Rhinolophus ferrumequinum: one gene and its partners. The protein of the gene in region 1 interacts with the protein of each later gene in a pairwise test. Links are inferred from orthologs where the notes say so. Each region holds a gene or a part of one and is shown on either strand. Other genes may lie near its edges. The genes, in order: RAB6A, BICD2 and PMM1.

Region 1 (10,237 bases):
TTAGTTTTTTTCTTTCTTGATTAGTCCAGCTAAAGGTTTGTAAATTTGTTAATCTTTTCAACTTTTGATTTCATTGATTTCCTTTGTGGTTTTTCTAATCTTTATTTCACATATTTCTGCTCTAATCAGTGTTATAGCCTTCCATCTGCTTCCTTGTTTGTCTTTCTTTTTTTAATTTGTTAAGGTGGAAGTTTAGGTTATTGATTTGAGGTCTTCCTTTTTTTAACATAGGAATTTAAAGCTTTAATTTTCCTTCTAAGTACTGCTTTTGCTGTATTCCATGAGTTTTGGTATGTTGTGTTTTCTTTTTCATTTGTCTCAAAGTATTTTCTAATTTCCCCTGTGCTTCTTTGACCTATTGTTTATTTAAAAGTGTGTTGTTTAATTTCCACATATGTGTGGATTTCCCAAATTTCCTTCTGTTATTGATGTCTAATTTCATTCCATTGTGGTTAGAGAACATACTTTGTGTGGTTTCAGTCCTTTTAAATGTATTGTGCCTTTTTTTTTTATGGCCTAAGATATGGTCTATCCTAGAGAATATTCCGTGTGCACTTGAGTTATTATATAGTTTGCTTTTACTGGATGGGGCATTCTATAGATATCTGTTAGTTCTAGCTAGTATACAATGTTGTTCAAGTACCCTATTTCTCTGTTGGTTACTAATCCCCCTATCTTCTGGCAGCACCTCACCCTAGTCCTCTAGTATGTCTCATTATTTGAGCCTAGAGCTTCTTGTGTTCAGTTCCTCCATAGAGAGGGATAGGTTTGTAACTACTCTTCATATAGATACAATTCTCTTGTTTTTGATCTCTTTCCTTACCCCGACCTTCTGTGGTATTTGCTGCTTCATATTCCTGAGCTTTTGTGGAGTTCCTGCCTGCCTGGCTGATTGGCTTGCTTCTTGTTACTTTCTCCTTCGGTAAGCACTTTCTATGCTCTGTTTAGTCAGTTGCCAATGCTCTCTATCTTTTGTCTCCCAATTTAAAATATAGTTCTGGGTTAGAGCTGTCAAAGACAGAGTTTCCATTTTTACTTTTTGTTCTTGTTCTGGAACAATTTCAGAAAAGGAAGAGGGAAGAAACATCTTTAATCTACCATTCCAAAACTGGAAGTTTGTTTTTCTGAATAATGCTGTGGTTTATTATCTCACTGGATAATTCCAGCTATTAATTATTGTAGTGATTTTGATACCCTTTGATTTTTGTATAAAGTCCTAGTTAGTTTGTGCTGTTCAAAAATGTGAAGAAATGTTCACAAAAAGGGGGTTTCTTGTGGCATGTTAGGCAAGTTACAATTTAGTTGTGCAGTCCATTGGCATTTCAGTGCAAACAGCATTGGTCTCATGCTTCTATCCTAAAATGCTCTGTTCTTTGCATGTAGAGCAATAGAAGCAGTTGTTCTCTTCTACTCTGAGAGTGATTATCTCTTAGTAGCAGGTAGAGTGATTCAGTCTTCTGTATATCTTACAGGAGACTTTATTATTTGTGGAGGATAGAGTACGAGGAGAGGAGAGCTCCAGCAATGTGTCAGGGATTACACATTCTGGATTAGTATAAAAAGAAGCAAACTCTTCCCCCACTGCAATTTCAAAGCCTGAAAGTAACACCCCACATCTAAGGCACTGAGAAATCACATTATTCATAAAAAGGACCATGATTCACATGAACGGAACAAAATGGAATTATCAAAAATAGAGTCTGTAGATCAATCTGTAGCAAAAATATCTTCTGACTTAACTTATAAATTGTCTATAATCACAGGAAGGACCATTTCATTGAAGTTCTACTGCCTTCTCCTTCTCCTCCTTGGCTGAATAAATTTTACACTTCCCCCATAACATGTCCTTGTAGGTCAAGGTATTTGGAAAACAGGTTTTGCCATGAGGCCTCCCCTCTCTTTTTTTCCCTTATAGTCCTTTTAAAATGAGACGTGCTTAAACCTTGCTTAAAACTTGTTTAAACCTTATACCTTGTGTTAGTTGTGCTCCTTTAATTGGTCACCTGGAATTATTGAGCATCTGTTATTTTTATGCTTTGTATATTGACTCACTATTATTTTTAGTATCAATGATTATAATAACCTGCAGAGTGGGTAGAAGGGCTTCACATTTGATACAATTTGAATTCCTGCCAGAGATATTATTTGTTTCAAATATGAGCAATATGATTTCAATCCTTTTCAATCCCTGGACAGTTTTTCTCCTTCTATTGATTTCCTGCCTCTCCAAGAATAATAAATCCTTTTTAGGGAGCAGTAAATAGAAAAAAGCAGTTCCAGTTTGGTAGCTATTACTGTATTATGTATATCATATACATTGTTATATGTGTAACATATATTAATATATATAATACACACACACACACACCCATACACACACATAGTATTGAGTGCCTAATGTTCAAGGAACTGTGCGAGGTGTTTAAAGGGATCAAAAGATGAGAACATCAGATGCTTTCAGCTGCAAGTAACAATAACAAAGACATATGTGAAAACATTACTAAATATAAAGACATTTATTTTTTTGCTAAAAAGAAGCCAGAGGAAGGCCAGTTCCAGGGGAGGTACAGCGGCTCAATGATGACTTTAAGTTTTCCGCTTAGCATCATCAATGGGTTGGCTTTTGTCTTCAGGATTATATATTAATGTTCACAAGATGTCTTAGTTCTAGATATCTTGTCCTTATATAACCACATCCAATGGCTGAAAAATGGCACTTTTTCCTCATCTATCTCTTTTCATCAGGGAAGATAATTTATCTTCTAAGTCTCTGGGATATTTCTTCATCTGCCACTGGCTCAGATCAAATTACGTGCCTATAACTTAGCTGAAGGGAACCTGGAAAAGTATCTGTCATTACCAATATATAATGTGGAAGTGTGTGTGTATTGTTGGACAAACAGTAGTGTCTGCCACAGGAATACAATGAAATCTCAGTCCTCCTTCAAGAAGCTTTGTGTCTCTAGAGGCAGAAAGACAAGCTGCAGTTATATTACAATTTCTGTGTGGTAGCTTCCTGGACACATCCATGGGCTTCAAATGAACGATCCCTTTTAAATTTATCAAAGAAGACTGCTCTAGGTACTTTCGATTTGGAGTTGTCAAAAGTTGTCCTCTCTGATTTTGAGTGATGCTCTCTTTCTCCAAAACACTCTTGCCGTTCCATCTCCACGTGCCCGAATTCCATTGAACCTTTGAAGAAAGCTAAAATAATCTCTCTCATTTATTCAGCAAATATCTGTTGCATGCTTACTATGTAGCAAGCACTCTACAAGTGTTGAAAATACAGGACCTCACAGAGCTTAGTCAGGTGGGGAAGACTGACACTTAATAACAATGAAGTGATGGGGAAGACTAGGGTACAATGGGAGGACAGGCAGGGGTACTTCATACTGTTAATGGAGGTGGGAGCAGACAGAGAAAGCTTCTTGAAGACTTGTTAGAGATGATATCTGAAGGATGAGTAGGAATTGGGGGGAGGGAAGAAGGAAGGGAAAAGTGTTCAAGGTAAAGAGAATAGTGTGTAGAAAATTATGGAGGTGAAAGTGTTGGCGAAAGTGCCCTTGGAAAAAGCCTCTTTAATTTCCTTCTCCCAAGTAATTTCTTCATTTGATGAACGTGTAGCACTTAATATGCAACTTTTAGACCATATGTTTTGCTCTGAAGGCAAAACATTATTTACACAGATAAATATGAACGCAGCTTCAGAGAAGAATGAGGCTGTATATGTGTCAGTGCAAAATGCTAGGTTAAAATATTCGAACATCTGAGGTAAGAGGTAGATTACACCACACCTCTCTTCAAAATAATAGAAATAACATCACCTTTCTAGGTGACCATAGGGACCAGAGCAGCATGGAGAAATTGATTCATAAAGTTCCCGAGGAGGTACAAAGTAATTATAGTTCCAATCCTCAGATGTTACTTTAAAGGCTATTTCAGGAAACATAATGAAAATCTGGTACCCATCAGAAAGAAAAAATAGCAACTCTTGTTTGAAAGAGGTTTTCTTTTTAAATAATCTCTTGGTATTGGGTGTTCTCTGTGTGTGCCAGGGTTCTGAGTTACTGGTAGCAAAAGCCTCCCAAGACCTGACAAGCTATTTTTAAAATGAATTTTTTTTAAAAAAAAATCAAATGTCCATATTACAACTCAGGTTTTTACCATTTCATTTTAGATGCATGTTCCAAAATCTTTCTGCCACTTAGCTGAGAGGAATCAGAAGTTAGTAAATTTTGATGGAGACGGAGGCTTGGGGATATAACTGTTGTCTTGATAGGCTAGAATGGATATTTTACGAATCTCTGTTCCTCCCCTTAATTTATTCTAATTCAGCAATTCATGCCTAGTTTGAGAAGACACTTACTTGTTTGATACTGCCATTTCTATAGCTAAGTAAATAATAACCTCCAAATAATGAGAAAATGTATGTAAATGTGTTTTGTGACTAGTAAGATACTATATACAAATGTAAGGACTTATTGTTTCATTATTAACTTGGGAAGTATTTTTGATACCAGTTTTTAAAAGTGTTCTCTTCAAGCGCAGAGATTACTTTTTTGGATGCTATCCAATAGCCTAGTCAAGTATGGCTGAAGTACGGTGAAGTGTAGATGCCAATTTCTCTAATTCAGTGATTCTTAACCTTTTATTTATTCATCTTTTATTAATAGGTGTTTTTTAAAACTTTGTATTTACAGAAAAATTGAGCAGACAGTACAGAAAGTCCCCATATACCTCTCCCCCACTGTTCCCTCTCATGTAATATCTTACATTAGTGTATTTCTTACAATTAAAGAACCAATATTGATACATCATAATTAACCAACGTCCATCTTTATTCAGATTTTCTTCGTTTTTGCCTAATGTTTTTTTCTGTTCCAGAATCTCATTCAGTTTAAACTTATGTTCAGTTGTCATGTTAATTATATCCACATTATACTTAGTTGTCATATCTCCTTAGGCTTCTCTTGACTGTGACACTAGCCTGCATTTTTTGGGGCATGAGCTATGTTGAAAATCTGCTGAATGCTATGATTCTCTCCACAGGAAAATGCACGTTTCAGATATTTCATTTAAGAGAGGTCCACCAACGGTAGATTCAGAAGCCCTATTTTAGGAGGAACGGATGATCTTTAAAATATCCCCTTCCTCACATTTGGTCTCAAGAACAGGCTCTACCTCTAATTTGTTGTGTGACCTTTTTGCAAAGCTGTTTTCCTACGTGGGCTTTAGTTTCACCATCGGTGAAATGACGGGTTTGTTTTACGTCTAAATCCTTTTCTAGCACAGAAGGTGGCACCTAGAGTTATCACTATCTGAGGAACAAAGGCTGGCACAGAAGACCAAGTCAGGTCAAGCCAGGGAAGTGATGGGCTTATCAATAAGGAGATTGCAAAGGTTCAATGGGGGGAAAAACCAAAACCTGGCTTCCACTTTATGTTTTTGTGGGTTTTCTAAGTTATTTCCTTCCTTTGAGCCTGTTTCCTCATCTGCAAAAATATGGAGGCCCTGCTTCTTACTGTAGTTATGAAACTCCTGGGAGCAACAGCAGAGCATGTACCTAGTAAGATACCGTGAGAAGATTAAGAAGATGAAGGTGGGTAGGTGCACGGGTGAAGGGCGGATCTGAGGAATGTGAGACAGGGCTGAGGGCTCAGGATAAAGGAGCCTAGTACACGTCTAACGACTCTCTAACCCCACCTGTACAATGCTGGGTTCAATGTATCACCTTCCGGCCCCGCCTCCGTCCCTCCCCTCTTCCCCTCCCCGCAGGCTGCGACGCGCCACACTCCGCATGGCCGCCACCGTACAACGCTTTCCACCGCGCGGCAGCCGCGCGCGCTCTCGCGCCGCCACCTCACTCCGGTCCCTGCCCGCCTTTGGTCTCTCGCGATTGGCTCATCCCATACGTAACGTATTCCACCCCCTCCTTATTCCACCTCCTCACTTCCCCAAGTTCCGTCCCGCCTCCTTGCTTCCCCTGACGCGAGTCGAAACCAAACCTGCCGACGTCTCCGCGGCGCGGGAGGAGCCGGGAGAGCAGGCTAAACCAGGAAAGTGCTGGCTGTGGCGCGCACGCGCACGCTCCCACGCACGCACGCCGGCGGGCGGCGGGGCGGCAGGCTCGCGCCCAGGCTCGCCCAGCGCCGCGCCAGAGGCTCGCGCACTCAGCAGGTTGGCCTGCGGCGGCGGCAGCTGTGGGAGCTGAGGCGCTGCGTGTCAGAGGTTCCAGACGTCTGCGGCTCCGGCCCCGCCACCCTCTGCCTCTCACCTCACTCTCCGTGCCTGGTGCTGAGAACAGAACAGCACTAGCCTTGGGAACCCTGAGCACACCCCTGACTGCTTCTGACACCAATCTCCTTCCCTTCCCAGCCGCGGGCCTCGGTCGGTGCCAGGCGACTCCGCGGGGAGGCGGTGGCGACGGCTGCCTATCTGTGGAGAGCAGTCCTGCCCCCTAGCCTTGCTCCGCCGTCGGCCCTGCTGGGGCCGAGAGAGCTCGGCGCCCGCCCTTCCTTTCACCCTTTTCATCAACCGATTGGAGTAGCGTCGGTCCGGTAGGTCTCTGGGCTGAAGCGGCGGCAGCTCCTCCGGTTCCATCATGTCCGCGGGCGGAGACTTCGGGAATCCGCTGAGGAAATTCAAGCTGGTGTTCCTGGGGGAGCAGAGCGGTGAGTGCGTGGCTACCCCACTCCTGGCGGCTGGCCGCAGCTTCCCCGCACCGCCCCCAGTGCGGCCCTTCAGTCCGTGGAGGCTCCCTGCCGGCCTCGCCTTAGCGCTTCGTTCCACCCCCAGCCCTTCCCGGGGTTCGCCGACCCCTCTTAGCCACCGGTTCCTTTTCGCCTTGATCCGTCGGTCGGATTTTGACCCTTTCGTGCCCGACTCCGGCGTCTCCTTTCCCCGCAGCCCGACCCTCTTCCGTCGATCTGCCTCCCTATTTCCCACCCCGCCCAGCCTCCTGTCCATCCCTTTCTTCCTCGGGTCTCACCCACCCCAGCCCCCTTTCTTGAGCCCCACCCTTATTCCTTGCTCTTATTCCAGTTCGTCAGCTCTGTGAGGCCCACCCCGGGAAGCCCCACTCCTGGGAACCGGCCCTCTTCAACCTTGGGCATGGAGGGTAGGATCTGGGCGTTGTTTTCCCCAGAGGCTTGGCCCTGAGAAGTGCGGATCTCATGGAAGGGGGGGGGTGTCGTAGAAAATTCCTGGATGGTTTTCACTTGGATGGGGAATTAGTCTGGGTTATAGAAGACATATATCTGAATTGGAGGCGACTTGAGGATGGAGTGGTTGAGGGGTGAGAGGGTTGGCGATGGCAGTGGCAATTTTTACCCCTTGGGTTAGGCTGTGGCTTTTTGGAAAACCTCATTTTCTTCCCTTGACTTTCATCCTTGACAATTCTTTTGGCAGTGTTGATGCTTTTCTGGTCTCTGCCAGATGCTATGTCATGATCGTTTTACTTGGAATTTTTCACATCTCACCTCTCCTTTTTCAACATGAAACAGTATCTGATTCTCCTCATGGTGGTGCATACAGGAATTACTGGGAAAATGTTAAGTATTCCTTTTATCCTTGAGTATTTTCCAGTTATAGATGTAGGATTTCTGTGAAAGAATGCTTGAGAATAACAAATATCTTTGTTTAGTGGATTTCCTTTGGGAGTATTGGAGTAGAGTAAGAAGAATAGATTCATCATCTAGTTTTGAAAATTAGATCGAAATATGTAATATACCCCTTCTGCTAAAGGACTCCTTTATGTTTAATATTCCATAGTATCTGATGAGTGAAATTCTCATTTACTTGGTCAGGCTTCTGCTGTTGTTATAGTTTGTATTCCATACAAGATCCTAGTTTTGTGATGGCTGTCTCTAAAATTACTTCTTGTAATTTCATTTTTATGCTGTATTATGCAAACTTGACACTTGGCAATTTAGAGATTATCATTCTTTGTTTTTCTCACACTTATCATGACCATCTTTAAAATTCACACATTGAGAGATTAGTTTCTCACAAGTCATCAAACATTGTTACCCACTTGGTGTCTTAGGTTAGACTATAGAAAACATTTGTTATCTTTTGGTTGGAAAGAAGATAACTGATATAAATTCAGAGCTTTTATTACTACCTTGAACTATTTATACTATTTTGTATGTCATTAAAGTAGGTTAATACTAGTTGCAAAATTGCTTCCAGTTGGACCTGAGAAATCATTTTTCTCCTTTCATACATAATCTTTCCCCTTCCCCCTTACCAAGGAAAAATGATGTCTTCTCTTTGCTTTTGAATTTTCCTGAAGTAGGTATAAGCTTGTTTCTTTAAGTAACTTGATTAACCTATGAGGTTGATCCTGGTCCAGGTGTTTTATGGTAATTTCAGGATAGTGCCATACATAAAATAATAGCTTATTGGTCATTATTGATAAATAGGATCTAAAGTGCTTATTGTGTACTCTAGGGATGTTATTGCCTGCCTTCTGTTATGATACAGAGCTGTTTAGTTTGCATGAAAAATCCATTAATATCTCTCATAAGAAGATTTTAGTATGAATAGAGATTATAACCAGTATCTCCAGGTTTCCTTTGAATTTCTTGAGTATTTATGTTCTAATTCACATTGCAGAGTGTTATGGCTTTTCATTTCTTACTTTTTAAAAGTCTTTAATAACTCTTTTCCTCCCCAATTCCTGAAGCCATCTTAGATTTTTTTTTAAATAGACTTTGTTGTTTTAGAATAGTTTTAGATTTATAGAATAATTGAGATCATGCAGAGGGTTCCCATATAGCCCCACCCAGTTTTCCCTATTATTAACATCTTACATTAGTGTGCTACATTTGTTACAATTAACCAATATTGATACATTATTATTAATGAAGTCCGTAGTTTATTCAGATTTTCTTAGGTTTTTTCTTTTATTTATTTTAAAGATTTTTTATTAAAATACAGCTAACATACACTATTATATTAGTTTGAGGTGTACATCATAGTTATTCAACAGTACCCACCTAGCTCTAACCAGTGTTATTACCGCATTATTGATTTTATTCCCTGTGCAAAAAAAGTGATCACCATAAGTTCAGCAACCATCTGACACTGTACTGCACTATCACAATATTATTGATCTTTACCCCCCTTTTAAATTTTTCAATTAGAGTTGACATTCAATATTATTTTCAGATTTCCTTAGTTTTTTCTGTTTAAGCATTCATTTTAGGGTACCACGTTACATTTAATTGTCATGTCTCATTAGGCTCCTCTTAGAATTTTTTAGGATCGTTCACATGCTTTTTAACTCTGTGGACCTGTGAGGTTAATTATCTTTTGAGGCTACTATATTGCTAAGTAATGCCATCCAATATCTTTGACAATGAAAGATCGATCTCTGTTTTCATGGGCAGTGTCTAATTTTCTTGTGCATTAGCAAAGGTCTGTAGAATCCATGTAATCTTGATGTAACTCTTCATGAATTATTTATTTTTAGGTTTTAGAATTACACAATTCGGCTTTCAAAGACTAATCTGTGGCAAAGCCTTGTTTGTTTCCTTAATAGCATTTACCACATTTATAATTCTTATTTTTTATGTATTTGTTTTTGTCAGTTTCCCACAAACAGAATGCAAGTCCCATGAAGATTAAAAACTGTTATTTTTTGTTGTTGTTCATTGTTTCCCCAGTGTCTCTCATAGTGCCAGGATTATAGTATGTACTCAGAAATATTTAGTGAATGAGTGATGGTTGAATCTAATAGTAATCAAAGGTAGTAGGTAGCCTATATTAATTTTTGTTATAATGAAGTCTACATTTTTTCCTTATGCAATTAAGAGTTTAACACTAACATTTTATACTTACATTATTGGATTGTATGCAGAGATATTGCAGTTACTGGGCAGGTGGGAGAGAGAACCTAATAATTTATAGCCCTCACTTAAAACAAAAAAAAGACCGATCAGGATTTTACAGTTTTTTTTCTGAGTTGAGCAAAATTTGTTTTGCATTGTTCAAACTATTGTTAAATTATTTGCTATTAGAATAGTACCTCAACGTATGTCAAATGATATTTAGAGACATGGTCATAGAACTGATTTGAAGTTAGGTAGATTGTCTTATCAAAAATTTAAGGTTCTGTGCTCTGTAATGAAGATGAGTTGTTTCAGTACATGAAGCCTCCTTGAGTTAATTACATCAGTACTGATAATCTTATAAACTCTTATGGTTTCTTTATATTTCAGTAGTGTACATGGTT
Region 2 (10,257 bases), on another chromosome or scaffold:
CGTCGTATTACCTTTGATGTCCTGAATGTCATCAAAATGTCTTCCTTTCAATATTTCCTTTATCTTCGGGTAAAGAAAGAAGTCATTGGGGGCCAGATCAGGTGAGTAGGGAGGGTGTTCCAATACAGTTATTTGTTTACTGGCTAAAAACTCCCTCCCAGACAGTGCTGTGTGAGCTTGTGCATTGTCGTGATGCAAGAGCCATGAATTGTTGGTGAAAAGTTCAGGTCGTCTAACTTTTACAGGCAGCCTTTTCAGCACTTCCAAATAGGAAACTTGGTTAACTGTCCAGTTGGTACAAATTCATAATGAATAATCCCTCTGATATCAAAAAAGTTAGCAACATGGTTGCAACAAGTTCACGAACTTAATTGTCAGACCTCATATACATGAAAGGATATTTTGTGTTCATAGACTGGAAGACAGTGTTGTTATGATGACAATACTACTCAGAGCAGTCTACAGATTCAAAATTCCAACAGCAGTTTTTACAGAAATAGAAAATTCATCCTAAAACTCATATGGAATCTCAAGGGACCCTGAATAGCCAAAGCAATCTTGAAATAGAAGAACAAAATTGGAGGACTCACACTTTCCTATTTCAAAACTTACTACAAAGCTACTGTAAGCAAAAGTGTGGTGCTGGCATAAACATAGACATATAGACCAATGGAATAGAATACAGAGCCCAGAAATAAACCTTCACATATAAGGTTGATTGATTTCTGACAAGGGTGCCAAGAATATTCAATGGTGAATTGATAGTCTCTTAAACAAATGGCACTGGAAAACGGGATATACAATATATACAAAAGAACGAAGTTGGACACTTCCTCTGTATACAAAAATTAGCTGAAAATGGTTCAAAGACCTAAATGTAAGAGCTAAAAAAATATAACTCTTAGAAGAAAACCTAGTGGGGAATCTTCATGACATTGGATTTGGCAATGATTTCTTGGATATGCCACCAAAAGCATAGTCAACAAACACAAAAATAGACAAATTGGACTTTATCAAAGTTAAAAACTTTTTCCTTCAAAAGACACTTCCGAAAAGTGAAAAGGGAGTCTACAGAATGGGAGAAGATATTTGTAAATCATATATCTGATAAGGAATTAATATCTAGAATACGAGGTCTGACAATTAAATTTGCGAACTTGTTGCAATGATGTTGCTAAACTTTTTTGATATCAGAGGGGTTATTCATCATGAATTTGTACCAACTGGACAAACAGTTAGCCAAGTTTACCATTTGGAAGTGCTGAAAAGGCTGTGTGAAAAAGTTAGACGACATGAACTTTTTGCCAACAATTCATGGCTCTTGCATCACGACAATGCACCAGCTCACACAGCACTGTCTGTGAGGGAGTTTTTAGTCAGTAAACAAATAACTGTATTGGAACATCCTCCCTACTCACCTGACCTGGCCCCCAGTGACTTCTTTCTTTACCTGAATATAAAGGAAATATTAAAAGGAAGACATTTTGATAATATTCAGGACATCAAGTGTAATACGATGACAGCTCTGATGGCCATTCCAGAAAAAGAGTTCCAAAATTGCTTTGAAGGGTGGACTAGGCACTGGCGTCGGTGCATAGCTTCCCAGGGGGAGTACTTCGAAGGTGACCGTAGTGATATTCAGCAATGAGGTACTCATATGTAGTACTTTTTGTAGAATGAGTTTGTGAACTTAATTGTGTGACCTCATATATAAAGAACTCCTACAAATCAACAACAAAAATATCTCAATTCAAAAATAGTCAAGGACTTAAAGAAACATTTCTCTAAAGAAGATATACAAATGTCCAGTAAGCACATGAAAAGGTGATCAACATCGGTAGTCATTAGGGAGATAAAATTACAGTCACAGTCATATACCACTTCACACCCATCTGGATGGCTATTATTTTTTTAAATGGAAAATAAAGTATGGCAGTTCCTCAACAGGTTAAACATAGTTACAATTTGATCCAACTATTCTCTTCTAGATATCTACTGAAAAGAATTGAAAGCAGGGACTCAAACAGACATTTGTACATCAACGTGTATAGCAACATTATTCGTAACAACCAAAGGTTGCAAACAACCCGTGTCCATCAGCAGATGCATAGATACACAGAATGTGGTCTACTCATACAATGGAATATTATTCAGCCATAAAATGGAATGAAGTTCTGATACATGCTATAACATGGATGCATCTTGAAATTGTGCTAAGCTGTAACAATCACTGCTCCGGAACCTGCCCCAGCAAGCTGACTGCAGCCCCCGCATGGCAGGTGTGAACTCTGAACAGGGCTGGTGAGTCTTGGTCAAGTGCACAGCGAAGTTCAGCTTCTTCCGCTGCCCTATCTAGCGGCTTCCTCTCTCCTTCTCAGGCCCAGATCCCTAATAACCACCTTTCACCACAAACTTTTCTTCAGCGGTCCTTCCTGCTTCCAGAAAACTGAAAGGTGTCACCCCAAGTGGATCTGGTCAACACCAGGGTGAAACTGATGATGCAAGTATTTGGCTAGGGCAGAGTTTTACAGTCTGATGCCACTAGCTCCCCTTTGTCACCTCCCGATGCACATATGCACACGCACACATGCATGTATATACACATGGACACACACGCACTCCATCATGTCCTGAATTCACCACGTCCCCCACCCTCCTGCAGGCCACGCTTGTCCATGATTACACCTCTGCCTCTCTGGGATACTCTTCTTCACCTTCTGTGCCGGCAGACACTAGAGCCTCCTTTAGAACCCCGTCACTGCCACTGCCACCCACTCTGTGACGTGTTGAGTCCTCCAGAGCCAGTACTGCCCCTTTAGAGCTCCTGAGTGCCCCAGGTACATCGGTTGAGTTAGCTGGTGAAGTCTGTTCCCCCAGGGAAGGCTGGGTGCCAGTTTCTGGATTCACAAACACCTGGGTTCAGATTCTGGGTTTCTCCCATATAAGGTGTGTGATCTCTTTGTGCCTCAGTTTCCTCACCTATATAGTGAGAACAGTGATACCTGCCTTGTAACTTGTGAGGCTTACGAGAGATGGCACCTGCATGCAAAGTGCTTGATCAGCTTGGAACAGGGTAAATGCTCAGAAAGTACATTGGGGTCTTCACCTCCATCATCATTGTGTCTGAACCCCCAGGGCCTGGCACAGAGTTTATTGAGTGAATGACATTTGGGCCAAAGATTCATCCTATGGCATGCAGAATGAGTATGTGGGGGACACCATGCCATTCACTGTGCTGGCAACTGGCCAAGGACACCTAACAGGAAAGGCTTTGCCACTCAGCCCACAACTGGACAGCCATGGGCAGAGAGGAGACAGGATTCCAGGAGGAAGGGCTCACACGGGCACTCAGAGCTCTCGAGGGAACAGCAAGGAAGGAGCTGCAAGGCTGCCAACTGCCCACACCCAGGCCAGCCCCCAGCCTGGACACCTGTGCACAGGAGCATCCTGCTCTCACCCAGGGCAGGAGTCTGCTTACAAAGGCAGAGCAGATTTCTGGGAGGACATCACTTCCTTTGCCCCCAGGCTGTCACCCAGGTGTTCTCGGGGGAACACTGCAGGCAGTCCCAGACATTGCCCCGTGCCACGGCTGCCTCTGTTCTCCTCTGCTTTCCTCTTGGTGAGGGGTGGGGGTCCAGGGAGTGGGGGATACTGATGACAGTCCAGTGTCCACCAGCTAAGTCGAATCTCTACGGCGCCTGGCTGGAGCCCCTGGTGTGCGCTGGGCCGGATTGAGGCCCCTGCCCTCCTGGAGCTGACTTTCCCGAGTGGACAAAGGTGCAAAGGTGAATAAGCCATAGAAAACAGGAGGAAATCGAGAGAGATGAAGCCAGGAAGGGGAGCACAGCCCAGGGGGGGTGGGGACAAAGGTGGGAGGGCCACTCCTGAGACTGGGCAGGGCCTAGGGGGCAGTGGCCATAACTAGCCTTGCCCCCCCAATTCATTCATTAAATCCTGAGCCCCATGGTGATGCTGGTAAGAAGTGGGGCCTTTGGGAGGTGATGAGGTCATGAGGGTGGAGTCCTCGTGATGAGATTTGTGTCCTTCTAACGACACCCCCGGGAGCTCCCGCACCTCTCCTGGCACGTGAGGACACAGGAAGAGGTGGGTTCTCACCACACTGCATCTTGTGGCACCGTGATCTCGGGCTTCCGGCCTCTGGAACCATGAGAAACAAGTGTCTGCTGTTTAAAATCCTCCCAGTCTTATTTTTATAGCAGCCTGAATGTACTCAAAGGGATTTGAGGAGACGGGTTGTGACCTGCCTGGAGTCTAAGGACACTCTGCTGCCGTGAGAGAAAAGGTTGGGGGCCTGGGGAAGGACGGAGGGAAGGTGGCTGCAGTAGTCAAGGCAGGAGGCAAGGGGCTCAGGCCTTGGAAGGGGCAGTCGGGACGGCAGGAGGCTGAGGCGGGTCCATCCTTTGCTGTCATATTGAGAAAGCAGATGAGGGGTGGAGGAGTTGGAGCGTGGTACTGAGGATTCTGCTGTTTCTTTATTTGTCAAAGAAAATAGCGTGACTCCTATGTCCTGGGGTGTCGTGAGGACTCAGCAAGATGATATAGCTCAGGTTCCTATCCATGTTGGGGCCCAGTCGGAACTCAACAAGGGTGACCCTGCTTCTCTTAGCCTTACTGTGGCAGCCTGACTGCATCCTTTGGGTGTCACCTTCTCAGGGCATCCTTCCCTGATGCCCTGTCCCCCAACACTGTCACACATCATGGCTCCTCCCTCATGGCTCTAACCTTGATGGCCAGACCAGCTGTCCCTCCTGCAGGAAGCCCACAGTGGCAGTGCTAGGTCCTCTGTCAGCACCTAGAAAAGTCCCTGCCTGTTCCCCTTCCACCACCCTGTCCCCAAGTTCAAAGCTCCATGGTCAATACCTGCCCCATATTCCCATAGCCTTTCCCCTCTCCCTCCTCAGGCCAGTCCCACATGAAGGCATGGAGGGTGGGTTTGGGGGTTCTGAGTCTGGCCATCCTGAGTCACCCTTCTCACAGGGTAAAAAGCAAAACCCAGTGGCGACCTGAGTGATGCAATTGCGTGCTGAGACTCTGCACCGCCTCGGGATATTCCTGCCAAAGCGCACACCCCAATCTAACCATGGGGACACATACACCGGTGTGCACATCTCTGTCCAGCAGCCTCCGTAAGTCAAGGTCAAAAAGACAGAGGGAGAAAGTCTCCCAGATGGAGAAGAAGGAGACAACGTCCTTACGAGGCGTGATCCAGGGCTCGGTCCAAGAACTGGAACCGTGGCTACTGAGGGCGGCGTCAGAGTCGGCCGTCCTGAATCGGATCACTGGATTGCACATGGAAAGGTCGAATTCTTAGGAAACACGTCGGAGCATTTCGAAACTAAGTGGGGGGCGAAGGCGCCCCTTGAGCTAGCAGGTCTCAATCAGCGTGCTTTTGAACGCTGCATTTCCCTCAAAATGCCTGTCTGGTCGTCCGTTTTACTAGAAACTTCAAACAGCGAGCTTGACCATTTCTCCCACTCAACATGTGCTGCGTTACAGTCCCCCAGAAGCTGGGGCGCCCCAGGTGGGCCGGTACGGACGCGAGGCCGGCTCTCGGCACTCCCGGTACACGTGCGTCCACCGCGGGTTTTCCGCCTCACCGGCCCAGGGATGGGGACCCGGAAAATACCAGTGCTTCCGGCTCCGCAACGGCCTATCATGATCGGGGGTGGGCGGGCGCAGGGCATGACGAGACTTGTAGTTGGCGCACGGGCGGGACTACGGCAACCACAACGCTCTGGGCGGTGGCGGCCGAGGCGATGGCATTGGTACGGTCGACCGGCGTGGGACCCGGCCAATCACCGTTTGGGGCGGGCGGGCCCGTGGCACAACGGGCCTTGTAGTCCCGCGGGCGGGACTACCGCACCCATAGTGCCCCGCGCGGCGGGGAGCGCATTGCGGCTGCGCGGCGGCCCAGGCGCCGTCGGGCTGGGCGGTGGCTAAGCGGATGGGATTCCGGCCTGAACCCCGGTGGAAGCGACGCGAGCCGGGCTACGGCCACCATGTCGGCACCGTCCGAGGAGGAGGAGTACGCGCGGCTGGTGATGGAGGCGCAGCCCGAGTGGTTGCGCGCCGAGGTGAAGCGACTGTCGCACGAGCTGGCCGAGACCACGCGCGAGAAGATCCAGGCGGCCGAATATGGTCTGGCGGTGCTCGAGGAGAAGCACCAACTCAAGCTGCAGTTCGAAGAGCTGGAGGTGGACTACGAAGCCATCCGTAGCGAGATGGAGCAGCTCAAGGAGGTGAGGAGCGTGGGCGGCCGCCGCCACGCCCTCTGGCGTCCCCGGCTCGCGCCGCGCCCGGCCCTGACCCCTGATCCGACCCCTCACCCGGGCCTGGCCGACCCTCGAACGGACCCCCGACGCTGGGCTGAGCCGACCACCTAGCCGAGCAGCCCCAGGGAGTCCAGGGTCGGCGTGCACAGCTGGCCTGGAGTCGCTGCGCCCCCTTCGGTTCCGCCCCAGGGAGGGAGACGCGGTCCCCAGGTGTGGTGGCGGCGCGCGTGCAAGAGAACCCGGGCCTTCTCCGGCCAGGTCTGCGGTGGGGTCCTGTCGCCGGTCTGCCTGCTCCTGGTGGCAGGCCTCGAGCACGGTGGGGTGGAGTTCTTTGCGGCGTTTGGCTTCCCGGGTGAGGGGGATGGGGGCGTGAGATGGATGCAGGGAAAAGCCAGGCCTGGTCCTGCATCATCTCCAGGCAGATCACTTCTCTCTGGGCGCAGCAGTCTTCAGTAGTTCCAGTGCGTTCCCCGAGGCCAGAAAAGGGCTGGGAAAGGGGCGTGCCTTGCATGTGGCCGTTATTGCTGCAGGTTGGGGGTCCCCTGTTGTCCCAGGCACAGCTCTCTGACCATACCCACCCCCACTCCCAGTCACTTATCTGGGATGCAGTGCTTTTCCCGCCCACTTCCTGTCCTGGCCGCCCTCCCAGACCCTTCCCTGCAGACTGGTGACAGGTCTGTGGGCATTTGTCACAGAGGGAGCCTTGTGTCTCCTGTGCAGTTTTCACTCCGGGATAAGGGGTGGGACCATCAGGCTGCCTGAGAGCCTAGCAGCAGGACAGCTGGACAGTCCTTCCAAGAAGTAGTTCTCCTTAATGGTTTAAACACCGCTTTTCTCCCAGTCCTTGCTGACTTCTCTAGCCCTGTTGTGGGGGGCGGAGAGGGAGACGTTTCCTTCTAGTGGGACACCCAGGTTTGGACTCAGGCTCTACCCCCTTGCTGGTGACGTGGCTGTGGACAGGGGCCTTAACTTCTCCCTCTGCAGCATTGCCCACCCAAAAGGGTTGTTTTGAGGGGCATATACTTGAAAAGGAGGGGCACGGTGTCAGGTGCGCTGCCTGACAGTGTGCCCCTTGCCCCGCTGACTCTTCCTCGTCCTGGTGGCCTCTTGGCCCTTGGTTCTGGGATGCACCGTGCTAGGTGTTTTCCCCACTGCCCATCTCCTGGCACCAACGCTCCCAGAGGCCTCAGGCAGGTGTCCAGACTGTTCAGAGCCTCCCTGCCCCACTGGGGACACCAGTAGACTCGTCTTTTGAAGTGGGGAGGAGAGAATGAATGAATCCACGCTAACGCTTAAATCCATGCCTGGCCGAGCAGGTGTGCAGGGGAAGCAGCAGTGAAGAGCATGTGCGGGTTGGGGGAGGCAGGTGGCGGCGCATCTGATCCTCGGTCCTGTCACCTGTCAGCAGGTATTGGGGCCTCCTCTGAGCCCGCTTGGCTGGTACTGGATCTAGACAAGAGAGGTGATATGTGGCTCCTCCTGCAAGGGCCCCATCTTGGTGTGTGGGGGGGCGGGGGGCGCTGCACCATGATGGAGGGAGGCCAGGAGACTGTGAGAGTATGGAGTGGGAGCACCTTCAGCCCCATTCTGGTCTCCCTGGGGAGACCCCCCCAATCCTACCTCCCCACAGCACTCATAGCCCCCTTCTGTGTTCACAAGCTCACGTTCGTGTCCGCTCTAAGAACAGACCAGACCTACTGTCCCAGAGGGAAGTAGTTCTCACTAAGGGACCTTTCGGTTGTCAGCTCGTTTCTATTGGACACAAACATTTTGGCCAATGCAAGAATCTTGGCTCTGCTTACTGGGGTGTGTCTAGACGGCGGGTCCCGGAGGAATTGAGAGGCAGGTGTGTCAGTCTCTGCAGGTGTTCTTCAGGCACCTGCTTGCTTAGTTTGTTGTCACCTCCTGGCTCTTGCACACACTGGTATTTGGCCTTGGGCACGTGGCCCTGTGTCCTGAACTTCAGTTTCCCCCCGTTGTGGCAGAAGCCAGAGGAAGGTGCATCAGTCTCAGTGATGTTACTACTGTGTTTCCCCGAAAATAAGACCTAGCCGGACTAGCAGCTTTAATGCGTCTTTCGGAGCAAAATTAATCTAAGACCTGGTCTCTTATTATGTTACATTACATTGTATTATAGTATATTATACTATACTATATTATGTTATATGACACCTGGTCTTATATTAAAATAAGACCAGTTCTTATATTAATTTTTGCTCCAAGAGATGCATTAGAGCTGATGGTCCGGCTAGGTCTTATTTTCGGGGAAACACGGTAGAAAGCTTGCACCAGTTCACTCACACCCATGCCAGCACAAGCTCTGTCAACCTCTTTAGTTTTGGCCAGTGTCATACCTGAAAATATTAACTTGTATTTTAAAAACCAAGATTTAAATAGACAATATTTGTTAGGTCCTTTTTTTTTTTTTTTTTGTCCTGTAGAGAGGTGAACCATCTTCATTCTCTTAAAACTTTATTTCTTGAACTAAAGTGGATTCAGTTACTAACAAATTACGCTGCCAGTGGAGTTGCCTGGACTTGGGCCCCGCACTTGCAGGTCATCCTGTGTCTGAAGGAGGGAAGCTGACTGGCCGGCCGAGGTCAGTGGGCCCTGCCCAGAAGGGAGCGCCCGCAGTGCCGGCCCCGCAGCCTTCTGCACGTGACGAGGGTGCGCGTCTCCTTGTCTGTGTCCTGCTGACACCGTGGGGCGGGGGACCTGTTGGCCCATTTTGCCTAATCATTTTCCTAGTGATTGAGCCTGGATTAGTAAGTCCCAAGTCCCACTGAGCCCCTTCCCTGCCATGGTGGGGAAGAGAATTGGATGGACTTTGGTCATCCACGCAGTGTTTACCGTCCTGAGTGGCTGTGGGACATCTCACGCTGTGTCCTCTGCAGCTTTAAGGGGGCAGGTGTGCTGGGGTGGCAGCTCCAGTCTGGTGGGCTTAGGTAGGTGCTGTAAGTGGGTTAAGTGGGTGGTCCTCATGGGTGGGGACGTGAGGGCCGGAGGACACGCCTCAGGCCAGGCGCGGGCCGATGCGTCTCGGCTCCGGAGAGAGTGGGAAGGCAGGTCTGGATGCCCTCCTGCCTCTGTGCCGCCTCTGAATCTTGTCCGCGGTGGGCATATCTTGGTGAAGCAGCAAGTTCAGTGAGCAGCGGTGTGTGAAGGGCGGGGCACAGAGCCTGGCACAGCTTGGCACACAGGAAGTGCTTACTTTGTAAGTGACTGCTGGCTGGTGTCCTTAGCTCCTCTCCACTCTCTCAGGCTTGGATCCCCTCAGCCACCTGGCCTCTGCTCCTCGTCAGGTCGGGAACGGCCCTATTGCGTCTCCCAGAGGGCCCCAGGTCTGCTGTCTGGGGCCTCCAGCTTGGCTCAGCCTGCGCTGCTCTTAACCATGGGATGCATGGAAGCCAGGAGGACCGCCCCTGCCTCTGGACTTGCCTGAACCCAGCTCCCAACCCTTGGCGTCCTTCTTGTCCTGCAGGCTCAGCAACCACATGAAAGGCCGGGGCAGAGCGGGTGGAAGCATCCTCCATCCCACCCCTCTTATAATCTCTCCCAGAGGATGGAGAGATGGAAGTAGGGGTGGGTGGGAGTGACTGAGGAAAGCCCAGCAGCTCAGACAGCGAGGGAAGGGGTCCTCAGCACCAGGCTCCTGTCCATAGTTTGCACAGGAGTCACAGCCATGAGCTGGTTTATTCCCATGGAGGAGGGTGGTGGGAGGGCTGCCCCTGGGCCTCACCCCCGTAGCTGAGCTGCTCCTGCCGTAGCCTCCCGACGGCCCACTGACTCCCACAGTCCCCACACCAGCCAGCGGGTCACCACCTTCTTGTGTTCATTGTAGCTGGGGAAACTGAGATGCAAAGAAGCTACGCTTCACTCAAGGCTGTGAGCCTTGGCAACTGTCCCTAGAGGGCAGGTATCTGCTGAGGAGAGAAGGGCAAGTGGAGGCTTCCGTGCAAGGCCA
Region 3 (9,862 bases), on another chromosome or scaffold:
AGGGCACCATGGCAGGAGGCTGCGATATTGTCCAGTTGGCAAGGTGAGCCACGGAAGGACTGGCAGCAGGGAGTGGACAGGGCAGATGTGCTTTGGCACTGCTGGAGAACAGACTGGCAGTTTTAAGGTGGCAGCAGGGGAGACACATACACAGGTGAATAGATTTGAGACCAATCCTGGAGGCTGAATCAACAGGAATGACTGTTGGACCCTATGCAGGTGGAAAGGTAGAAAGGATGCCCGAGGGGTTGGCTTAAGTAAGTAGGTGGTTGGTGGTACCCATCACCAGCGGTGTTGGAAAGGTGCACCCATGCCCACAACCATAGCACATGGCAGGTCCAAAAGGGTACTGGTTCTATCAGAACCCCACCCCCCCAATCCATTTCACTGATGAGAAAATAAAGGCTCAGAGAGGTTGAGTGCCTGAGGTCCTACAGCCTAAGGTTGCACAGCTGGTGGCACCTTGTCCAGTTCCGAAAACTCGATTCGCTCCTCCAGGGTGCAGCTCCGGCCGATGGGCGAGATGTTCAGCATGCCATTCCGGAACTCGATGAAGGTCCCACTGGGGGTGAGGGGGGTGGGAGGGAGGGTGGGGAGCCAGAGAGAAGGACAATGGCACTGAATTCAATCCAGCCCGTCTGGACTTCACAGGGAACAGGAATCTACCCACCAATAAGTCTGGGCCCGGCATCTCTAGATCCCCTTGGAGACAGCCCCCCCTTTCCTCTTCAGGCCCAGCACTGGGAGGAAGAAATGACACAAGGCTGGATGGGGTCTCACCGCTTCTTCGGCAGTCTCAGTAGGGCCATGTAGCGGAGGCAGAAGTTGATCAAATCCTGCAGCAGCTCCTCCCCGAGGTGGTTCTGGATGGTCTGGGCAAGGAACACAGGGCATGTGGTGGGCATGGACAGAGGTACCCATGGAATGTCTCACTGTGGAAAAGTAGCCTGGGCTAAGGCCCCGGGGGCCACTGACCTGCTTGGAAAGCAGTCGTCCATACTTATACTGCACTGTCCCGTTCTCAGCAAACACGTAATCAAACTTCTCAATGACTTCAGGGATACACAGAGGCCAAGGGAGAAAGAGACAGCATGAGACCGGGCACCCAGAGCCAAGGAGAGAGATGATGCCCACACTCCTTGGTTTGGCCTTCAAAGCCCATTTGTTCCATCCCAAACCTGCTTGTGTAGCCTCCTCACTTCCTGCAGCTTTGGTTTTTTCCAAACAAGAAAACAAACTCGTCACACTTCTGGGCCTTTGCTCACGTAGGTGCCTCTGCCTGGAATGCCCGCCCTCTTTCCTCCCCCGCCACTCCTCCAAGATCCCCAGCTCCCTCCTCTGGAAGCCTTCCGGGACTCCTCAGCAGAGGGCGTCATTTCTGCTCTGTGCTCCCACAGCCCCTCTGGACACCAGCTTCCCTTTTGTTTTACAACTTCCATCACTGTGTTGTTAAGGCTGGTTGCAATGGGGCAGTTTTCAGCTCCGGATGCTATGAGAAGTGGCTGGATTGGGCAGGAGTGGGGAGGCACAGGGAACACGACCAGGAGGCTGTTGCAGGGTTCAGGTGGGAGGTGACCACCTGGACAATGGTGGGCAGTGGAGATGGAGACAGGACACACAGGGAAATATTTCGGGACTGGCTGATGGAATGAACAAGGGGGTGGGGCAAAGGGAAATTCAAGGAAGTCTCTCGTTTGAGGAGCTGGAGGCATTTTGCCTTGAGCTGAGATCAAGAACTCAGCTGAGACAGGGTTTGTGGGTCCAAAAATTTCCTGGGTGACTTCAGAATCTTCCCTCTGTTAAATGGGATAATCATTTAATCCACCCCGAAGCTTGGTTGTGAGGATTACATGAAAGGAAGTTCACACATGGTCATTTTCAGTACTGATTATGCCCATTTTAAAGATGAAGAAATCGAGACCCAGCAGGGAGAACTGAGATGTAAGGGCAGGATTCTGCCTGCTCTTCCAAAGCCTGGCACAGTGCCCAGCACATGATAGGTGCTCACTAAATGGTTGCTGAATCAGCGAGAGAAAGAAACATCTGGCTGTTCCCTCTACTTGCTTTGCTCCACAGAAGCAGGACTGGGTCTTTGAAGGCCCATGGGTCTAGGGCCTCCCACTACCACCCCGACTGTGGAGCTGGCTCTGGCCACCTCCTCCTACCTTCGTCCCCCTCTCCCAGCTGCTCAGCAATCTTGGAGTAGTCCGAGCCGCCCACCACGCCGATCTGCACTCTACTTCGCAGCTTCTGCAGGAAGGCAGCCACCTCAGGGTCAATTTTCTGCAGCGGGGCAAAGAAGCACAGGATTGGCTGTCCGCATGTCTGGGATCTCCACTCAGCCCTCACTGGGTGCTCAGGATCCAGGATATTCACCTGGATCTGAGGCCGTTCAAGGTTTAGAGCCCAGATCTTAAAAAATTGGATGCACTTGGGTTCATACTCTGGCTCAAGTCCCTCCACAGCAGGATGACCTCGAGCAAATTGCGTTGCCTTTGCCTTCTTTGTCCCATCTATAAAATGGGGATCACAGTAGCACCGGCTGGAGTGTGGGGGGGTCACTGTTAGGATTAAATGAAAATGAATAAACAATGAACCAGCGAGTGATCATGGGAAAAGATTCCCCAGCAAGGAAATGGAAACGAATGAGTTATAATCCATGTTTTCAAACATTCAGATATTCAAAGATGACAATATCAAGAGTGGATGACGATGTAGGGGAAGCAGGCACTCTCAAACGCTGCTGGTGAGTGAAAATTGGTACAGCCATTTTGGAAGATAATTTAGCAAGATCTATTAAAACTTAATATTAAAACTTAAAATGCACGTGTCCCATCACCCAGAATTTCCACTTCTCTTGCCCATATGTATATGGGGGTTCATTGGGGTATGGTTTATAATAATGGAAAACTGCAAACAACTTAAATGCTTGTCAATCAGAGAATGGCACATACCTGCTCTGAAATACAATCCTGTGGTTACACAGAGTAAGGCAGGCCTGTACTCCAATATGGGCGAGTCCCCAAACATGCTAATTGACAAAAGTGAGTCGCAGGAAGGCACGCACAGTATGATGTGTGATACCACTTATTTTTTTAAAAGCCTCAGAAGACACTGCTTAATATTTCCTCTGGGCAAACAGATCCAGATAAAGGTCTTGAAGGAAGCCACATGACAGGCAACCAGGTTATTTAGGGGCGGGGGTGGGATCCTGACATAATCAGAGGGGACTTGAGCTTTCTGTTATGTTTTCATTATTGACAAGAGAATGCATTCATGACTACATGTCTAATTAAAAATTAACTTTTAGAAAGCACTAAGGACAGGCCCTGGCAATAACATTGGTGGACAGCATTAACACACTATTCTTGTACAGGCTGTTGGGTCAGTGGAGCAAAGAGTGGGGGGAAAGGGTTGGGGCTGTTCTTAGACTCTGCCACCCTCCCTTCACTGTCATCTTTCTTCCATCCCTGAGGACCCTGGGAGCTGCTGGAAGGCAGGGTGGCCTGATTCCTTCCAATGCGCCCAGGGCTCAAGCCAGGGCCATCCGGAGGGGAGAGGATGGGGTATGCAGAACCTAAGAGGGGAAGCTAAGACCTGTGTTCCCATCAGCCTCTGCGCTGCAACCCAGCCCTATTGGTTCCCTGCTCTAGGAGATTCCTCAGTTGGTCCTTGTAACCTCAAACTGGAGGGTAGAGTACACTCAGGGCCAGCAAGAAAGAGGCCTGCTTATCCAAGCACCCAGCTAGTAAGGATGGGTCTGGAGGCTCATCCAGGGTGAGATCCAAAAGGAGAAAAACTGGGTGTGGAGCAGAGGTTGGAGGATCAACACCTGTGAGATGCCTTTAGATTCTTAAGTTTAGAAGAACTGCACTCCCACCCTCCCAGTGCCACAATATCCCCAATTCGACCAGTTTAGGCGTGAGAACTCTCACCTCGAGGTGGGCGGAGTCCATACTCAACAGAAAAGGTACAGTAAGCCCTCCCTCCCTCCTTCCACCGCTAGGGGTAGAAGTGGGTGAGGGGCTCAAGAAACTAGACCCAGGCCCAGGCCTGCAAAGGTCCGGTGGAATGGCTCCGAGATTCCCCGGCCCCCACCAGATGAAGACTCTGAGGTTTGGGTGCGCTCAGGGGTTCCCAGTTTGGAACCTGGGTTCAGATGCCAGTTTCGGGATACTGGTGCGTCCTAGGGCAGAACTGGGTGGAGTGGGAGCTCCGGCTGGTGTGGTAGGGGCGTCCCTGAGCAAGGCCTTGGCGTGTGGAAGTCTGGCGGAGGGGTAGGAATGGAAGGTAGGCCCCCGCTTGCAGCCTCCTCCCTCCAGAATCCGACTCAGCTCCGATGCTTCCGTGCAGAACGTGGGCACGGACGCTTCGGGGTTGTGACGTGGGCGTCCGGGTGCCCATCATTCCCAGCGGTCGGCCCCGGGGTGTCAGGGGCCGGGTACTGCTGCATCCCACACTCAGTCTCGGGGGTCCGGGTTACGCCGCCGCAGTCCCCATCTTAGGCCTCCGGGTGTCCGCGTGACATTCCCGACCCGAGATTCCGAACGTGGAAGCCCTACCTGGCGAGCCGGCGTGAGGGTCCCATCCACGTCAAACAGGCAGAGGACGCGCTCCTTCCTGCGGGCGCCCTCAGCGGTCACAGCCATGTCTGCAGCTCCGCGAGCCCGGCGGAGTTCGCAGGATGTGACCCGGGAGCCGCGTCGCGAAGACACTGATAGGGCGGGGTCTGGGAGGGGCAGGGTCCGCAGGAAAGCCCGGGTGAGCCAAAAGCGGAGGGGGCGTGACCAGGGCGTGGCCTCGGCGGGAGGGGAGGGCTCGGACGGGGCCTGGGCGGACTGGTAAGGATGACTCTGATTGCACCAGGCGGAGAAGGGGCGTGGAATATAGCGGAGCAGAACACGGCAGGAACGGTCTGATTGGTCCAACCCACACGAAGGCGGGGCAGGCCAGGCGGGAAAGGAGGGATAGAAGCCGGAAGAGAAGGGCGGGGCCGGAGCTGGATCGTGGCGGGATGATTCTGATTGCATCCGGTGGTGGAGGGGCAGGACGGGGGCGGGACCTCGAACCCGCAGTGCAGTGCGGGGTGGAGCGAGGGCGGGATTCAGGGAGCCCGGGCTGTCCTATCTTCCCCCGCCTGCCATCAATCACTCTATGACTCGCCCCTCCCTGCTAACGCCTTTGCCCTACAAATCTTGAGCTTTAAGAGATCACCTAATGGCCTTTGCTCAGGCTCTGGACTTTGCCAGATGGCCCTCTCCTCCCTCACTCCTCCTGCAGTTATTCTGTCTACGTCATAAGGCTCAGTTCACGGTCCACCTCCTTCAAGAAACCTGCCCTTGGATCCCTCTTCATAACTGTTTCACCATCATATTGACTTTGGAGTCAGTTCTAGACTGCCTTCCTAGCTCCACCACTATGTGACTTTGGACAAGTCACTTCACTTCTCTAAGCTTTGTGTCTCCATGTGTGAAATGGTAAGGACACCACCTACTTTGCAGGGTTGCTTGCACATGAAAAGAAAAAAGTGTAAAAGAGCCCACATAGTACTTGGCACACTCCAATTTGTATAGAAGTGCTTGATACTGTTACTGATTAAACAGTTATTGCCTGTCAAGTCTTAAAAGTGTGCAGATCCTTTGAGCCAGCAATTCAACTTTCAGAAAATAAGAAAACGGGGAAAAATGGAGATTGGTTAGATTAACTATGATCCATCTATAAGATGAAGCCGTGAAAATTTGTATTGTAGAATATTTAACATGGAAAAAGCATGATTCCATTTTTTCCCCCGTCTTCTGCCTCCCACCCACTCCAGTTCAAGCCATTGTTTCTCAGTCTAGTTGGGTAGGACACAGCTCCCTGGCCCATGCTGGTTTATGAGCCTTGCGTTCTCCCAGGCTGAGACAGTCAGTCGCCAGTCTGCTGCTCACAGCAGCTCTCACCTGCTGCCTGCCAGTCACGATGGCTACCGGCCGGTCACGATGGTTGCCGGCCACTCACACTGGCTGCCGGCCACTCATGCTGGCCACCGGCCGCTCTGGTATGCACATGGTAGCCCACTGCCGCACACAGTGCCGCACACTGCTCATGGCAGCCCAGCTCCAGGGAGAGGCATTGTTTTGTTCACAATCTTAGCTGTAGAGGGCGCAGCTCACTGACCCATTTGGGAATCTCCGTGTTAGGAGCACCGGTTCCAACCACCTGAGCCACCGGGCCGGCCCAATTCCATTTTTGTAAGAGAAGTAGCAGGCTGTCTCTGGGTGTTGGTGTCATCGTGAATTTCATAGATTTTTTCCCCCCTTGGAAGTGTGTTGACTGCAGCTTCCTCTTCTCCGGGGCTCTCTATTTCTGCCTCCTTCCACACTCCAGAGCCAAAGGCCCAGCTCCAGATCCTCTGTACTCCCAGGGGTTGCCCTTGCTTAAGGCTGTGCCTGGGAAGGGATTTTTGCTGCATTTACCATCTTTACCCTGATGCCTGTGATCAACTCTGGCAGTTTTGGTCCTACAAAGACACACTCATCCACACACCTACGAGTGGTACCACTGTCTACAATACTTTTTTTTTTTTTTTTTAAGATTTTATTGGGGAAGGGGAACAGGACTTTATTGGGGAACAGTGTGTACTTCCAGGACTTTTTTCCAAGTCAAGTTGTTGCTCTTTCAATCTTAGTTGTGGAGTGTCATTCAGCTTCAAGTTGTTGTCCTTTCAGTCTTAGTTGTGGAGGGCGCAGCTCAGCTCCATGTCCAGTTGCCGTTGCTAATTGCAGGGGACGGGCAGCCCACCATCCCTTGCGGGAGTGGAGCCAGCAACCTTGAGGTTGAGAGGATGCGCTCCAACCAACTGAGCCATCCGGGAGCTCAGCGGCAGCTCAGCGGCAGCTCAGCTCAAGGTGCCGTGTTCAATCTTAGTTGCAGGGGGCGCTGCCCACCATCCCTTGCCGGACTCGACGAGTTGAACTGGCAACCTTGTGGTTGAGAGCCCACTGACCCATGTGGGAATCGAACCGGCAGCCTTCGGAGTTAGGAGCACAGAGCTCCAACCACCTGAGCCACCGGGCCGGCCCCTGTCTACCATACTTTTGATCATCTCTCTGTTTTTCTGTTTTGGTAGCTGCCCTAAGGAGACCACTGGAGTCAGAGTACAGGAAACTGCAGTTATATGGTCCCTGCTAATTATTAAAATTTGAACAGATCACCTTCCCTCACTGAGCCTCAGTTTCTTCATCTACATAATGGGGACCTAATCCTCAACTGATAGGACTATAAAAGGTAAACTATTCATAACTGATACTTATCGATCTCTTACGATGTGCCAGCCACCATACCGGCTACTGGACCATACATCTTCATTCATTATCACAGCAGCTCTAGGAGGTGTTATTGTCTCCACTTAATGAAGAAAAAGGAAAGGGATGTGCCCAAGGCTGCACAGAGCACCTATCAGGCTGACAAGGCCAAGACCAGGGTGAGTGAGGTACTGGCTGCAGGCACAAATTTAAAGCAGCACCAAAATTTAAAGCAGCATCAAGATAAATAGCATTTAAATGTAATATTTTTTAAAATCAAAATTAATGCAAAAAAATTCATGATGAACAAAATATCAAAAAATGTTTTTAAAGACAGGATCAATAATCGTACTGAGGAGTCATATTGGAGCCTGAGGCAAAAGGAAAAATCTATCTTTCTTTCCAGGCCCTGCAGCAGAGTTTGGTTTATTCATTAACCAGACGTCTTGTGCCACTGTTCTGGGTCCTGGGAACACCATAGGGAACAAAACAAGAAGCTTTTGTTTTCTGTTGGATGCAGACAGCAAACAAAACCATCTCCATGGGAGAGAAGACCAAGCTCATTACCCTGCACCTCCTGCTCCACCCAGATCTGGCCTCTGGGACTCTGGCCACTGGCAGGGCCCACCTAGTCTAGAGCCTGTGGGTGGAGCTGGAACTGCCCCAATTAGTCTCTACTATCTCACCACTGACACCTGTTCCATTGCTTAATAATTTCTAGGGAAGTGGTTAAATGCAGATGCCTGGGCCCCACCCCGATGCTGGAATCCGGAAGCCGTAGGATGGGGCTCACAGGGCAGGACAGGTGTTTGTCTCCTATGGATTGGGTCCACTACTCCAAAGACAAACAAAGATAAGCTCTCAAAAGTAGCACACCTAACCTTAGACCTGTAGTGAACCAGTTTTCTTACAAATACCTTTCACAGTCTCTTCCTGAATTCTCACCTCAACCTATTTCAGTGATGAAGACACTGAAACCCAGAGAGAGGAAGTGAATTGCCCTGACGCACAGACCCAGGAGGACTAGGTGTGGTGGCCCTAGTGGCCACTAGTATGTCTCTTTAAGAGGGAGGCTCATCCCTGGCAACTGGTGTTCAGATGGGGCCCTGGGGAGGCCCTGGGGAAAACACGGAGCAGGGGAAACTGGGACTGGGAGATCTGGCCAGAAGGGTGTTTCCAGAGCACCCAAGGAAGCCAGTCCTGAAGGCAGGGAGCCTGAGACCCCAACATGGCAAGATCCTGCTCAGGAAGGAAGACTAGGCTCTTCTGGGCCAAACAGTTGGCTGATGTTTGCAGGTTAGTGACTTCCATGTTTGCTTTGGGCAGTGTAGCTCCTACCTTGGGCGCTTCACTTACTTTTGCCAGAATCCTGTGAGATGGGTACCATTATACTCAATTTCCAGATGTGGTACTGACACTAGAGAGGTGACGTGGCTTTCCCCGTCACACAGCACAGTCAGGATTCACATTCACAGGACTCCCCTAAAGCCCATGCTTTTCCCTCGGCCCTTGGTGGAAGACGAAGTGTCGGCACGTTGTTGAATGAATATAGGGGGTGTTGGCCCTCTTTTTCTCCATCTGGAGTGTGACCTTCTGAAGGCAGGCAATCCCAGCCTGAGGGGCAGCCTCGGTGTAGTAAGTGTACAATTAGACTGACAGTTCCAGGGCCTGGCTCTTCCAGCCAGGTGACCTTGGGCAGGTCCCTCCCACCCTGAGTCTGTTCTTTATCTATAAATGGGACTGACACTGACAGCCTCTCTGGGCTGTCAGGAAGATGAGGGTGCAGGGGAGGAGATGAGCTTAAAGAGGCCCTGCAAAAAAACAGGTCAGGGCTGGTTGCTGGTTTTAATTCCGTCTTGGTTCAGGGGCAGTGGGAGGTTGGGGAAACGGTGAGTGTTGGCTGTTTTTTCTCTAGTTTTCAAAATGCCTACAGTGCTTACATCATTTTCATAATAAACAAGTCTGTTGACTTTAAATAAGCTAAAGGGCGTATGTTCAGAGGTGGTGTTTGTGGAGGGGGCGGAGCCTGTTGCTGGGTTGGCACAGGCCCCATTGGGGCTCCCTCCACCAAAGCCAGTGGGGACAGAGGTGGCTCAGCATTGCCCCACCTGGGGGTAGGGGGCAGGGACAGCGGTCTCCTGACACCTGTGGTTAGTGATCTCTGTGGATCAGAGCTGAGCCCTGAGAACTGTAAGACATTGAACAAATCACTCCTCATCTCTCATCCCAGGGGTGGGGAGAGGACTCACTGGGAGCCATAGTTTTCATTTCACAGATGAAGAAGCTGAGGCCCAGAGAGAGGAAGGTCCTGATGAAGGTCTTTGAGGCGGAGGTTCAGTCCAGGTTCAGGGGTTTTTATGACCCCTCCCCCCCCAACGCTGGCCTACAGGACTGAACTGGTGGATCGATTCACTCTGTGATGCCGGTTCTATGCCAGGCCTCGTGCTGAGCACGCAGGTGGTCACAACCAGGCCGAGCCACAGCTGGTGGGAGAGGAACCCACAGGAGGGAGGGAGCGGCTTCGGGTGGGGAGAGGTCAGGAAGGCTTTGCAGAGGAAATGCTGGTATTGGGCCTT

Evidence for each region.
Region 2: the proteins of RAB6A (region 1) and BICD2 interact in binary tests that used the Homo sapiens proteins (3 or more experiments, as listed by UniProt). The link is inferred for Rhinolophus ferrumequinum from reciprocal best matches to the Homo sapiens genes RAB6A and BICD2.
Region 3: the proteins of RAB6A (region 1) and PMM1 interact in binary tests that used the Homo sapiens proteins (3 or more experiments, as listed by UniProt). The two-hybrid records come from large-scale screens. The link is inferred for Rhinolophus ferrumequinum from reciprocal best matches to the Homo sapiens genes RAB6A and PMM1.

Annotation. Positions count from the first base shown.
Region 1 is NC_046294.1:48,922,340-48,932,576, reverse strand, and holds the start of RAB6A (ras-related protein Rab-6A), read left to right. Parts: upstream 1-6,088; 5' UTR 6,089-6,601; coding exon 6,602-6,671; intron 6,672-10,237. UniProt on the Homo sapiens protein: The small GTPases Rab are key regulators of intracellular membrane trafficking, from the formation of transport vesicles to their fusion with membranes.
Region 2 is NC_046295.1:740,941-751,197, reverse strand, and holds the start of BICD2 (protein bicaudal D homolog 2), read left to right. Parts: upstream 1-5,786; 5' UTR 5,787-6,020; coding exon 6,021-6,260; intron 6,261-10,257. UniProt on the Homo sapiens protein: Acts as an adapter protein linking the dynein motor complex to various cargos and converts dynein from a non-processive to a highly processive motor in the presence of dynactin.
Region 3 is NC_046293.1:6,430,693-6,440,554, reverse strand, and holds the start of PMM1 (phosphomannomutase 1), read right to left. Parts: upstream 4,763-9,862; 5' UTR 4,650-4,762; coding exon 4,563-4,649; intron 2,284-4,562; coding exon 2,166-2,283; intron 1,053-2,165; coding exon 976-1,052; intron 873-975; coding exon 781-872; intron 563-780; coding exon 463-562; intron 1-462. UniProt on the Homo sapiens protein: Involved in the synthesis of the GDP-mannose and dolichol-phosphate-mannose required for a number of critical mannosyl transfer reactions. In addition, may be responsible for the degradation of glucose-1,6-bisphosphate in ischemic brain.